Elephas maximus indicus: one gene and its partners. The protein of the gene in region 2 purifies or fractionates together with the protein of the main gene of each other region. This does not show direct contact. Links are inferred from orthologs where the notes say so. Each region holds a gene or a part of one and is shown on either strand. Other genes may lie near its edges.

Region 1 (3,747 bases), on a different chromosome or scaffold from region 2:
TCTTTACTAAAAAAAAAAAAAATCCCATTGCAGCTAACAATTTCTTAAAAAATAAGCCTATATTCCTGTAGCTGTTAATTATATACTAATTCTTTTACAAAAATACATTACTTAGATCCAATGAAAACATTATAAATCATTTACCAAAAATATTTTATTTGGTGTTTCTTAGATCATGTAAATTAACCATTCCTAAGAAATATTATTTCCTTCGGGGGACATTTTTTGCACAAGTTTCTCTTTTTACGCTCCCACCTTTTAAAGTAATTATTTTCTTCCAAATGATACTAAATTTGCATATCATTCACTTCAGGAAAGGGTAACCACAAGAAAATACCCACTGTCAGAAATAACATGTTTCAAAAACTGTTCCTTTGTGATACCAAAAAACCATCATTATCATCTAGTCCTTCTGGTTAGGGCAAATACTATATTATTTCCATAAATTCTAAAGAAATACTCCTTAATACCGTAATTACCATAAGGATAGGAGAGAGGGCAACAAGTCAAGACATTCAACTTGCCTGGAAACAGGCTAGAGAACACAAAAGGGGGAACTCTGAAATAAAAGTTCACATCTCTAAAAAACTGTCTCTCCTGAAATGGAAATGAATTACATATATATATATGCACACACAAACATATATATGGGGGGGTGACAAAGGCAAGTATAAACACAGGTTACTTGCTTCACTCAAAAGATATTTGTTCGGAAAGACGTCCAGATGTGGCCTGCATTTTTAAAAGATTACCACTGTGACAATTCTTTGGGGAAATGGGTGTGTAAATGTAGAAAACATGATACTGAATTTAAATTCATTAATTCATTCAACATTTAAGTGCTTCTTATGTGGCAGAAAATGTGCAAAATATTGGAGTCACAGTTCCTGTTCTCAAGGGGTATATTCATTTATCCCAGTTACTGAATACTATGTGCCAGACGCTGCGGATTCAGCAGCAAACAGGAAGACACACGGTCTACCTTCATGCAGCTTATACTGGGGGAGGAGGGAACTCCTCAAGGATGTGACATTCATCTAACTAAACAAGAACATTCACTAAAATGTTACAGGTAGTGCTTACAGATGCGCACAAGGGGACACAAATGAGAGTGATGGATTCAGGGATAGAGGTAGGGGAATATCAGGAAAAGCTTCAGATATGTGGACCTAACAACTGAGTTCTCAAAGGGAATCAGATGTTCACCTGGCAGACCTTGGGGGGGGGGCGGGGGTAGAGAGGTGTGAACAGCCTGGTGTACTTGGCAGGCCTGGAATACAGAATGTGAGAGATAAGTCATGGGGGAATCTGTATGCCACAATAAGACTGGGCTTGATTGATAGATATGAAAGGTCTCTGAAGGGTTTTACTCAGAAAACCAGCATATGTGATCAGGTTTTTCTTGTGTGATGAGACACAAGTTTACACAGGAATGAAAAAAGAACACTAGATAATGATGTCACCACATGAAACAACAAAGGAGACCGCCCAGTTAGAAAAACTAAACTCCCTTCAGGAAAAAACTAAGGACTAAATATTCAAGCCCTTCTGGGAAAAAAGTTTTTATTCAACATCATTTAAAATTGGAAACGCAGAAGAAAAGGGGTGTATATGTATGATGGATTATTAACATCTGCATATTCTATTTTGAGTTTCCTGTTTTAGTTTCTTATTAACTCTGTAAACACATCTGGGCCTGCAGGTTGCTGTACAAAACGCAATGAAACCTATTTAGGAGAAAGCCTTTGATACAGAGAGAATCACAACTAACAGAAGGTATTTCCCAAGTCAGGTTTAAAGGTTTCCAAAGTTCTGAAGCTAATCAAGTTTTATTAAGTCAGCACATTTTATAAGGTGTGTCATAGGGGTGGAGCAAAAGTGAGGTGGGGTTAAAAAAAAATCAACAAATATATACATACATATAAACAAGTAACTCAATGTCGCTGGGACTAAAATCACCAGTTGGAGATCCTCTCCCAAGTAGAGGGAGAAATGAACACCCACCAGATCCAATTAACACAGACAGAAGGAGGGGTGGGGGTAGGAGGGGGGAGGGGAAGATGATCACACATGAAAATACAAATGGAGTTGGTGGGAGGTAACCACTTACTTATCCAGAACCCATAATCCAGCTGGCGGTACGATGAGGAAATTACCCCCAACCCCACAACTCCGACTTTTGGATTCAGACATAAAGGCAGGAAAATAATGTCACTCCAAAACTTCACAAACTAATCACCAGACTCTTGCCAAAGGGATATGACCGCAAACTCGCTCCCAGAACGCAAGGACAGAGAGCACCACCCCTACACGGTGCCAGAGGGGAGGTGAAGGATCACCCCTATTCTGGGAGTGGAGGGCAATCACCCTTAAGACTCAGCCCCAGAATAGCAAACAGCCCCAACCAGGCCTAGCCGGGGCTAGGGGCAGTGATGGTCCTGAAGCCCCCTCAAATCTCGGCCAGACCTGCCTGATCCTCGCCCCCCGCCCCTCCCCCCCCCTCCCCCCCTCCCCCCCCCGCTTTCTCGAACACACAACCTCCCCTACCTGATATGGCGGCGGCGGCTCCTGATCCGGCTCCGTCCCCTCACCAAAGCTAGCCCGGTCGGACTGAGACTCGTGAAGCAGGGAGATGTCATCCGAGGTGGGGGATTTGAGACAGTTCCCCATCTTCCGGGGCTGGGGTGTGTAATCTGGGGGAGGAAGAAAGGAGTGGCGGGGCCGTCTGCACGCTCCGCGGTCAGCCTCGGTCGGCGAGGTGGGGTCGGGCGGCAGGCCGGAGCTCAGGCGGCAGCGGCTCCCCCGCCCCCCGGCGCCGCCGAGGGGCCGCTCATGCCAGCCCCCGGGGGTGGGGGCTCAAGCCTGGGCCGCGGGCTCCACTGGGGTCGCGACGGTTGCCTCCTGCCAGGCGGTGTTGGGGGGGGCGGGGAGACGGGGCACTTCCCCACCCCGCCCCCCCGCGGGGCGGCGGCGGCCACGGAGCTGCTGGGCCTAATCCAGGTCAGGAGGGGGGGGCGCGGCCGTCACGGCTGCCTCAGCTGCTGCCTCAGCTGCTGCTGTCCCCGCCGACGCCGAAGCCCCGACCGCGGGCCTCATCCTACTCCGCCTCAGCGCGGCGGCGGCGGCGGCCAGAACAAGGCCGGCCTGGGCCCTGCGTCATCCCGCTGTGCGTGCCCTGGTCCCGCCCTCGGCGCCGGGAGGCCTGGGCGGCTCCCGCGGCGCGTTGACCAACCTCCTCTTCCCCGCTAGCAGCTGTTCCTGGGGCTGCGTCAGTTTCTGCTTATTTTTGTGACAGTTTGGCTCGGTACCTGACTTCGAAGCCTCTCCAGCCTCTCGCTCCTCTCCACTCCGTGCTTCCGCCCGGTTTGTCTCAGCTGAGCTCCGCCGTGTGCACTATTCCGATAATCTCAACACCCTCAGCTGCCAAGTGATCTATTTATAAACGCATATCTAAATGGATCATTCCCTTGGTTAAAATGTAAATGGCCTCCCTTTATCCTTTCAGAATAAAGTGCAAGCTTATTAATGAACTCTCCCTACCTCTCCAATCACTTTCCTTATTCTCCAACATCACAGCCAAAGAGATTGTTCCAGCTGTTTATCTCAGATTGCTCCATTTCTTTTTATTCCCACCGCTATTTTTTATAGTCCAAGTCCGGAAACCCTGGTGGCGTAGTGGTTAAGTGCTACAGCTGTTAACCAAGAGGTTGGCAGTTCAAATCCGCCAGGCGCTCCTTGGAAACTCTG
Region 2 (3,747 bases):
ACTAGGCAGGGGCTGCTTCTGAGGAGTTTTCTGATGGTATTTTTGGATCAGGATTTTTCATCTGATTGTCAAGTGGAGCCTGGGACGAGTCAATCTCTTGGTCAGATGGTGACCTCTCCTTTCATGTAAGCAATCCCCTGCACGTGAGCTGGGCAGAATAATTGCAGGGTGCAATCAAGGGACAAAAATACCACACACACATTCTCCTTGCAGCATGTCAAAAGTTTCTTTCACAATGTCATTCATTCATCCATACATTTAACAAATCCTACGTGAGTACCTACTGAAGGCAGCACTGCGCTTGATGCAAGGGCCAAAAATCAAATACGACCTTATTCCCCTCTTTGAAATCATACAACTACCTTAGTCTGCAGCTAAGGTACAGAAGCAGAGGGACCCGCTGCTCAAGGTCCTACAGCTACCCAGTGCAGAGCCTTGCCTAGCGTCTAAGTCTTCCAATATTTGCCTCTTGCTTGTCCGATGCCACCACACCTGTGGCTACAGTGCCTGCTACTCTCCATGGAAACAGGCAAGCAGTAAGTAGTAAGATTTTAAACAAGCTAGGTATTGCCTCTTTGTGCTTTTCTGACTCTTCGATTTTGCTTTTCTGAACCTAAAGATCCTTCAGCCAACATCTAAAATAGCGAGAGCTGTCAACTGTCGCAAGACACATAAATATAAGTATCTGTCATATGATTGTAATATCCTTATAGGTCAAAGGAATACAACATTACCCTTTTTTTTTTTTTAACATTTGTGTGACCTCACTTGGACTTATTTGAAGATAATTTCCCAATTTTTGTCACTACAGGCAATGAGATTCTACAGAACTTATTATTGCTCAAAGTCTTCTCCCCCTGGTTTTATTTTTCCACTCTAGGCAGACATTTTTGTCTGCAGTGTGGAAATTTATGAATTATTTATCAGCAAACATCTCATCAGATTTTTGGAAAGTACCTGTCAAAAAATTCAAACATTGCAGAAAGAACTGCAAAACCTAAAGAAGCACCTTAGACAGTAAGAATGGTGCACTAACTGTGCTGCTCAATAATCAGGGGCATTTAGAGTTGCAGTCCAGCAGGCTCTTTAATCAATTAATAACAATTCTCCCAAATGCTGCCCAGAGACACTTGACCAGACCAGCTTTCCAAGGAAGATCAGAGGCAGGGAGAACTGAAAACAAAGTGGTCTCAAAATGAGCTGAGCTCCTTCCTTACTTAATACCACTGCTTTCCTGAGAGCCCAGGTGGCAGGATGTGGGGCGACCTGGGCTGAGTGACAGTCTGACTGTGGGGTAGTGACTGGTGCGGGGGGCCTGCAGATGGCTTCTAAACTGGGGCCCCCAAAAGACAGACGGGCAACCCACTTCTTCCAGCGTACTTCTTACACTGCTGCAACTTTCAGAGAAGAACCCATCCTCCCCACCTCTCCTGCACAGAACACTGTCTGGAAGCTGTCCCTGGAAAGGTTAGCTCACCGAAGCCCCCCACACAGGCTGAGTTTTGTTGCCCCTGCGACCTGCCACCTCCGTTGGGCTGGTTCTGCATAATCTCGGCAGACGTCACAGTGGTTCTGCAAGGTCTACGTGGCCAAGAGCATGCAACGCTTAATTCCAAAAAAGACAGAAAAAGGAGCAAAGCACCAATGACCCATCTAACAAAGCTGACTTCAGCAGTCAGCTGCAGCTCAAGTTCTCTGCATTACTGCAAAGGATCAGCTGGATGGGGGATCCAGGGCTGTCACCCCAACATCTGGCTCGGCGACCTCAAGTCCTAGCATTTCAACACCTAGAATGGGCACAAACGGCCAACAAACTTCCCTCCAGAACCACTGCAAAACCAATGCCAAGCAGATGCAGCAAGCTCGACAGTCGCTGCCAAAGACGCACCCATAGCCCTTGCCCCAGATGAGCTCGTGCCGCGACGGTTACCTCTCCCTGGAGTGCGATCCTCTTCCAAGTCCCAAGTCCCAGTTAGGGCAAGCGCGTTGAGGCCAGGGCGAAGCAGCACCCCATGGACGGCTGACTGAGACTCGCTCGCTCGCTGGCCGGCAGGCTGGGGGTGTGGATCTTGCCAGCTGCCGCAGATCTCCCGGCGGCGGCTCCCGACGCTCCGCCCCCGCGAGCTCGGATGCACTTGGCCCACAGCGCAGGCTGCAGACTGCGCAGTTCTCTTTTCCCTTTCTGTTTTAGGCTTGCGGATAGTCGGGGGATTTCCACCCGGGGACTTTCCAGTCACGTGACGCCAGGCCCGGCGCCGGGAACTCGCGGCCGAAGAGTCGCCCGCCGCCAGAGGGCGCAGGAGGCGAGCGCGCGGCCGCAGCCCGGCCCGCCGACCGCCCTCCCGGCCGCCCCGCCCCGCCCCGCCCCGCCCCGCCCCGCCCCGCCGGCCGGCCGCGCGGAGAAACTCCTGCGCCCCGCCCCGGGGTGTCCCCGCGTGAGTCACCTGGGCATTTCGGAAGCTCGGCCCAACGTCACATCCATGTGGAAATCGCGGTGATGGGAACTGGAAATGAAGTAGGTTCTTTTTCTCAGATTTTCTGCAGAAAATCATCAGTTGTGGAGAAGAAGAAGGGAAATCATAGAGGAAGAAAACCCTGAAAACCACCCTGGCGCCCGGGACCGCAAGCTGCGCAGCCGGGGGGTAGAGAGGCTTGGGCTGCGCACGTGGGGAGCACTAGGGGAGAGCCCAAGACCTGGCCGCAGCGGAGCTTGGAGACAAGAAGTACCCGCCCTGGGTCCCTCCACAGCCTTCCTGTCTACCTCGACCCCAGGCTGGGTGGAATGCGGGCCTGAGGCGACATTCCCTGCCGCGGATTAACCAGGAAGCAAGGTGCGCAGGGGTTTACTTGTGTTTACGTCGTGAGCCCTGGTGCACAATTTCACATGGGTTTCACCACGTCTTTAATATGGTGAAAAGCAGCTGAAATTGTGCACCAAGGATTGGTAAATAAGCACAAGTAAGCCCTTGCGTACTTTGTTTTTGGGTAATCTGTCCCTGCCTGCGGCCCTGTGGCCTTGAGTATCCCATGACAAGGCCAGTCTTGGATAAAATTAGGACTCAGAACAATCCGGCCCCTACCCCGGCACTTGCGCGGTTTCCCCTTCTCCATTTCTGCACGTCAAGCGCCTGGGTGGCATCACATTCCGTCGAGAAATCGATTCTAGTCCATTACTGACCTTGCCATGCCCTCCTAAGGCCTCATTAGGTGTGTCTTCTTTAGAAGTCGTGATAATTAGATCGCCCCAAGATACCTTGTTATTCCCCCCATGTGCTATTTGCGTGGTAACTGCATTTTTTCACGTAAAGATGTCAGCCACCTGAGCGATGGAGGTGCGTAAATTGTGCAGGGAGGGACGTTAGGGCGCTTATACCTTGATGCCCTGTAAGAACCGAAAGTTAGCGGTTTGAGTTCACCAGCCAGTCGCTTTCCGGGAGGAAGATTACAGCCTTGGTTACCCTATGGGGCAGCTCTACTTTGTCTTATAGGGTCGCTATGGGTCAGAATCTATTCCATGGCAGTGGGATTTGGGGCCCTCAAAGCACAGGTGCCCGATAGGCCTCCTTCCTAAAATAGCCAAGTTAGGGTCAGATTGAAATATTCTTTACCATTAGCCTTTTGACTGTACTTAAATATGCTTGTCAAGCCACGTATCTCAAGTTTTGAATTAGAAAAGTATTTCCTCTCCCCGGTATAGATTTGCAGAGGCCAGAACAAGAGTTGGCTGGTAGGTGGCACTTTTTGGGC
Region 3 (3,747 bases), on a different chromosome or scaffold from region 2:
AAATGAGGAGGAGATGAGGCTCAGTGGAGGTCCTGCCTGAGGTCACACTTTTGGCTGGTGGCAGAGCCAGGACCAGCAGTTGGGGACCTGGCCAGAATGGGGGCGTCAGGGCCCCAGGCAGACCATAAACCTAGAGGTAGGACTTACTCTGAGGTTTGTGTTGGAGGGGTTAATTCCTGAGCAAGTGGGAAGGTGTCAGGGGGAATTCTGGGTAAAAGGGGAGGGTTCCTAAGGAACTCTGAGCACTTACCAAGTGTCAGGTACTTTTTTTGTCCTTTCTTAATAAATCCTTACAGCGACCCTATGAGAGAGGTTATCTCCATTTTACTAGTTGGGAAACAGGCTCAGAGAGGTTAGGTTATGTTCCAAGACCACAGAGCTAAAAAGTGACCAATCTGGAAGAATATAAACAATATCACTGAGTTGTACATGTAAAAATTGTTGAAATAGTGTATCTTTGGCTTTGTATACTTTCACCAAAATAAAAATATTAAAAAAAAAAAAGTTTAAACTATAGTTATGTAGCTATGGGGGCGGGGGGAAGTGGAGAATTCTGTACTGGAACCCATTGAATTTGACTCCAAAGCCCGGGTCTTTCCGTTGCTGTTCCATTTAGGGAAGGCCAGCTGGGGGTGGGGAGGGAGGGAGCTTACTGCACCTTGGTGACCAGCTGGGAGTGTAAAACTGGCGGGCTGGGGGCACAAGGCGACTGGATCTGGAACTCCAAGCTCTCTGACTGGACTACAAACGGTTAAGAACCTTTAACCCCCCCCTCCCCCGCCTCCTCCCTTGGCTCTTCCTGTCCCGCGGATGTTGCAACACAGCCACACTCCCGTCCCCTCCCACCTCTTCTCTCCTTTCTAGTTTTCTCGGAGCTCTTCCGACTCAGGCCTTCGGAGTCCGAGGTCCCTGGACGAGGACGGGATCTCTACTCGCGCCTCAACTTTCGAAGTCCCGCGCCCCAAGGCCTAGGCTCCACCAGGGAACTCGGGACCCCGCGGACCCCAGGAGACCGCCGCCACTGCCCTGAGCCCTGATGGGGGAGTGAGAGGCCACCCTGGCCGGACATGGGCCTCCCCACCGTCCCTGGCCTGCTGCCGCCATTGGTGAGACCAGGGATCCAGAATGGAGTGGGCTGGGGCGGGGCAGAAGGGGGCGAGATCCCGGCTGGCCCCAGCCTCGGGCCTGCTCAACCCAAACACGGTTCACGTTTCCCCATTCTTATGCCAGTGCAGAGAGGGAGCCGACAAGGCCGATTATTTGAGGGAAATGGAGAAGTTTGAAAGGGAAAGAGTAAAAGGGAGCCCTGGCCCCTGATAGCCAAGGAAGTTTGGTGGGGCCAGGGGGCGTCCGGGAATGTGCGGCAGGTGATAGGCCAAGGATGCAGTAGATTTGGCGGGGGAAGGACAGAGTGGGAGAAGGAAGACCCGTCCTCTCAGTCCAGAAGATTCAGGATTCTGTCCCTCTGGTCAGTTGGCAAGGAGCCCTGGTGTCGCAGTGGTTAAAGCGCTCGACTGCGAACCGAAAGGTTGGCGGTTTGAATACAACAGCCTCTTAGCGGGAGGGCAGTCAGCTTCCTAAAGATTTACAGCCTTGGAAACCCTGTGGGGCAGTTCTACTCTATCTTACAGGGTCGCTGTTAGTAGAAATCCACCGGAACGCAATGGGTTAGGTTTTTGGTTTGGTTAGCTGGCTAGCCGGGCCTGTGTTAGGCTATGGCGAGGGAGGCTGCCTATGGAACCTGGTTGAGCAAACCCTGTTAGAGGGCTGGAGTTGGATGGCTAGTGAAGCCGGGAAGCTGAGTCCAGGAGAGGGTGAATTGTGGGGTAGGTTTGGGAGGCTACATAGTGGGGGAGTCTTTGGGAGTCGAGTGGGAAACTGTAAGGGGGAAGGACATCTAAGTAGAGAGCGCCCCAGTGCCCTCCCAGGCCTCCCACTTGGGGCATTTGTGGCCCTTCTGCCTGTGGCTCAGCTCCCAGGCAGGGTAGCCTCTGTTGGAATAACACCTCCACCTCCCCACAAGTAACTAGTACCACCTCCACCCAGTATCCCTGCCCCTGTCCTCCCAGCCCCCTCCCTGTAGAACTAAACAACAATCCTTTGGTTTCTCCTTTTTCAGCTCAGTTTGCGGAAGTTGGTAGAAAGTTGTTTTCGTCACTGGTCACTGGAAAATGTCCCTTTCTCTTCCCTCCACCTTGTTTCAGTGTATCCTTGATCTTCGCTCCTTGTCCTTGACTCATCTTTTCCAAATGCCCTGAGCCCCCAGATTCCCCATCTAGTTGGATAGATTATCCCTGCCTGTGCTGACCAGGTCTTCTCTTTCTCCTGGGCCCCTGCCCTTCCCTGGCCCACCTCTTGCTCCCACCATCTCCCCTGTCGTTGGCATCTTATACTCTCTCTCCCAATCATTCCTCCCTTTTCTATCACTCTCCCCTTCTCAGAGTCTCCTTTTTGAGACCTTTTTTTCTCTTATTCTTTCTTGCTGCCCCACTTCTCTGCTCTAGTGCCATGTTTCTAGACCCTGGGTACCCCAAGCACCTCTCTCTATCATGGTCTCACTGTTCTTCTCATTCGCTCACCTCCTGTCTCCCTACTCCCATCTTCTCTTCCTTTCTTTCATGGGTGTCCTGCCTCCATGATCTTCCCCCAGTTTACAGCCCTGACATCTTCTGTTCTCTCTTTGGGGTGGATCACCTGGGTTTGAATCCTGGCTGTACCATGTAATAGCTGAGCAAGTTACTTAACCTCTTAGTTTGTTTGTCTGTAAAATGGACATAATAGTCATTACCTCACAACGTTGTTTTCAAGATTAAATGGAATAATGTATGTTAAGTACTCATTGATTTATTAAGTGCCTGGGTGGTACAAGCGCTTAATGTGCTGGGCTGCCAACTGGAGGTTTGAGTTCACCCAGAGGCACTTCAGAAGGAAGGCCTGGTGATTTACTTCTGAAAAACCAGCCATTGAAAACCTTATGAAGGACAGTTCTACTCCGATACATGTGGGGCTTCCATGAGTTGGAATTGACAACTGGTTGTTGTCAGTCTTCATTAGGCACTGTTTTAGGCGCTGGGGTTACAGCAGTGAACAGAATTTCTGCCCTCATGGAGTTTAGTAGAGGACTGTTGTTTTTGTAGCTGCCATCTAGTTGATTGCTGTGAGTTGGGGTGCTGGCTGCAGATGAGGTACATTGGCTGGAAATCAAACCCAGGTCTTCCACATGGAAGGTGAGAATTCTACCGCTGGACCACCAAAGTCCACTAAACCAGAAAACCAAACCCATTACCACTGAGTCAATTCTGACTCATAGTGACCCCACAGGACAGAGTAATCTGCCCCACAGGATTTCCAAGGCTGCCACATCTTTCTCCCGTAGAGTAGCTGGTAGGTTTTAACCGGTCACCTTTTGGTTAGCAGCCGAGCTCTTTAACCACTGTCACCAGGGCTTCCAGCGCCCACTAAGACCAAATGAAACCTGTTGCTGTCGAGTTGATTCCAACTCATATCGACCCTAATGCCCACTAAAAAAAAAAATGCCCACTAGGGTGTAGAAAATAGAAAGCACTCAATAAACTTTAGCTCTTCTTTTTTTTTTAACGTTAGCTTTTATATTATTAGTATTATTGGTAATTACTCAGTGAACATCTGTGTCTGGAAAACAGAGGGTAAAGTTAGACTGAACAGATAAAGGAAAGTGCCTGGGGGCTGAGGCTGATCCAGCCCAGGCCAGGGTAGGACTGTTACTGG

Evidence for each region.
Region 1: the proteins of TNFAIP3 (region 2) and RNF11 purify together in Homo sapiens (affinity purification with western blotting; 3 studies listed by BioGRID and IntAct, with this or other methods). This does not show direct contact. The link is inferred for Elephas maximus indicus from reciprocal best matches to the Homo sapiens genes TNFAIP3 and RNF11.
Region 3: the proteins of TNFAIP3 (region 2) and TNFRSF1A purify together in Homo sapiens (affinity purification with western blotting; 7 studies listed by BioGRID, with this or other methods). This does not show direct contact. The link is inferred for Elephas maximus indicus from reciprocal best matches to the Homo sapiens genes TNFAIP3 and TNFRSF1A.

What each region holds. Positions count from the first base shown.
Region 1 is NC_064821.1:94,257,845-94,261,591, reverse strand, and holds the start of RNF11 (RING finger protein 11), read right to left. Parts: upstream 2,746-3,747; 5' UTR 2,671-2,745; coding exon 2,548-2,670; intron 1-2,547. UniProt on the Homo sapiens protein: Essential component of a ubiquitin-editing protein complex, comprising also TNFAIP3, ITCH and TAX1BP1, that ensures the transient nature of inflammatory signaling pathways. Promotes the association of TNFAIP3 to RIPK1 after TNF stimulation.
Region 2 is NC_064819.1:207,627,724-207,631,470, reverse strand, and holds the start of TNFAIP3 (tumor necrosis factor alpha-induced protein 3), read right to left. Parts: upstream 2,179-3,747; 5' UTR 1,931-2,178; intron 1-1,930. UniProt on the Homo sapiens protein: Ubiquitin-editing enzyme that contains both ubiquitin ligase and deubiquitinase activities.
Region 3 is NC_064822.1:63,140,888-63,144,634, reverse strand, and holds the start of TNFRSF1A (tumor necrosis factor receptor superfamily member 1A), read left to right. Parts: upstream 1-821; 5' UTR 822-1,067; coding exon 1,068-1,106; intron 1,107-3,747.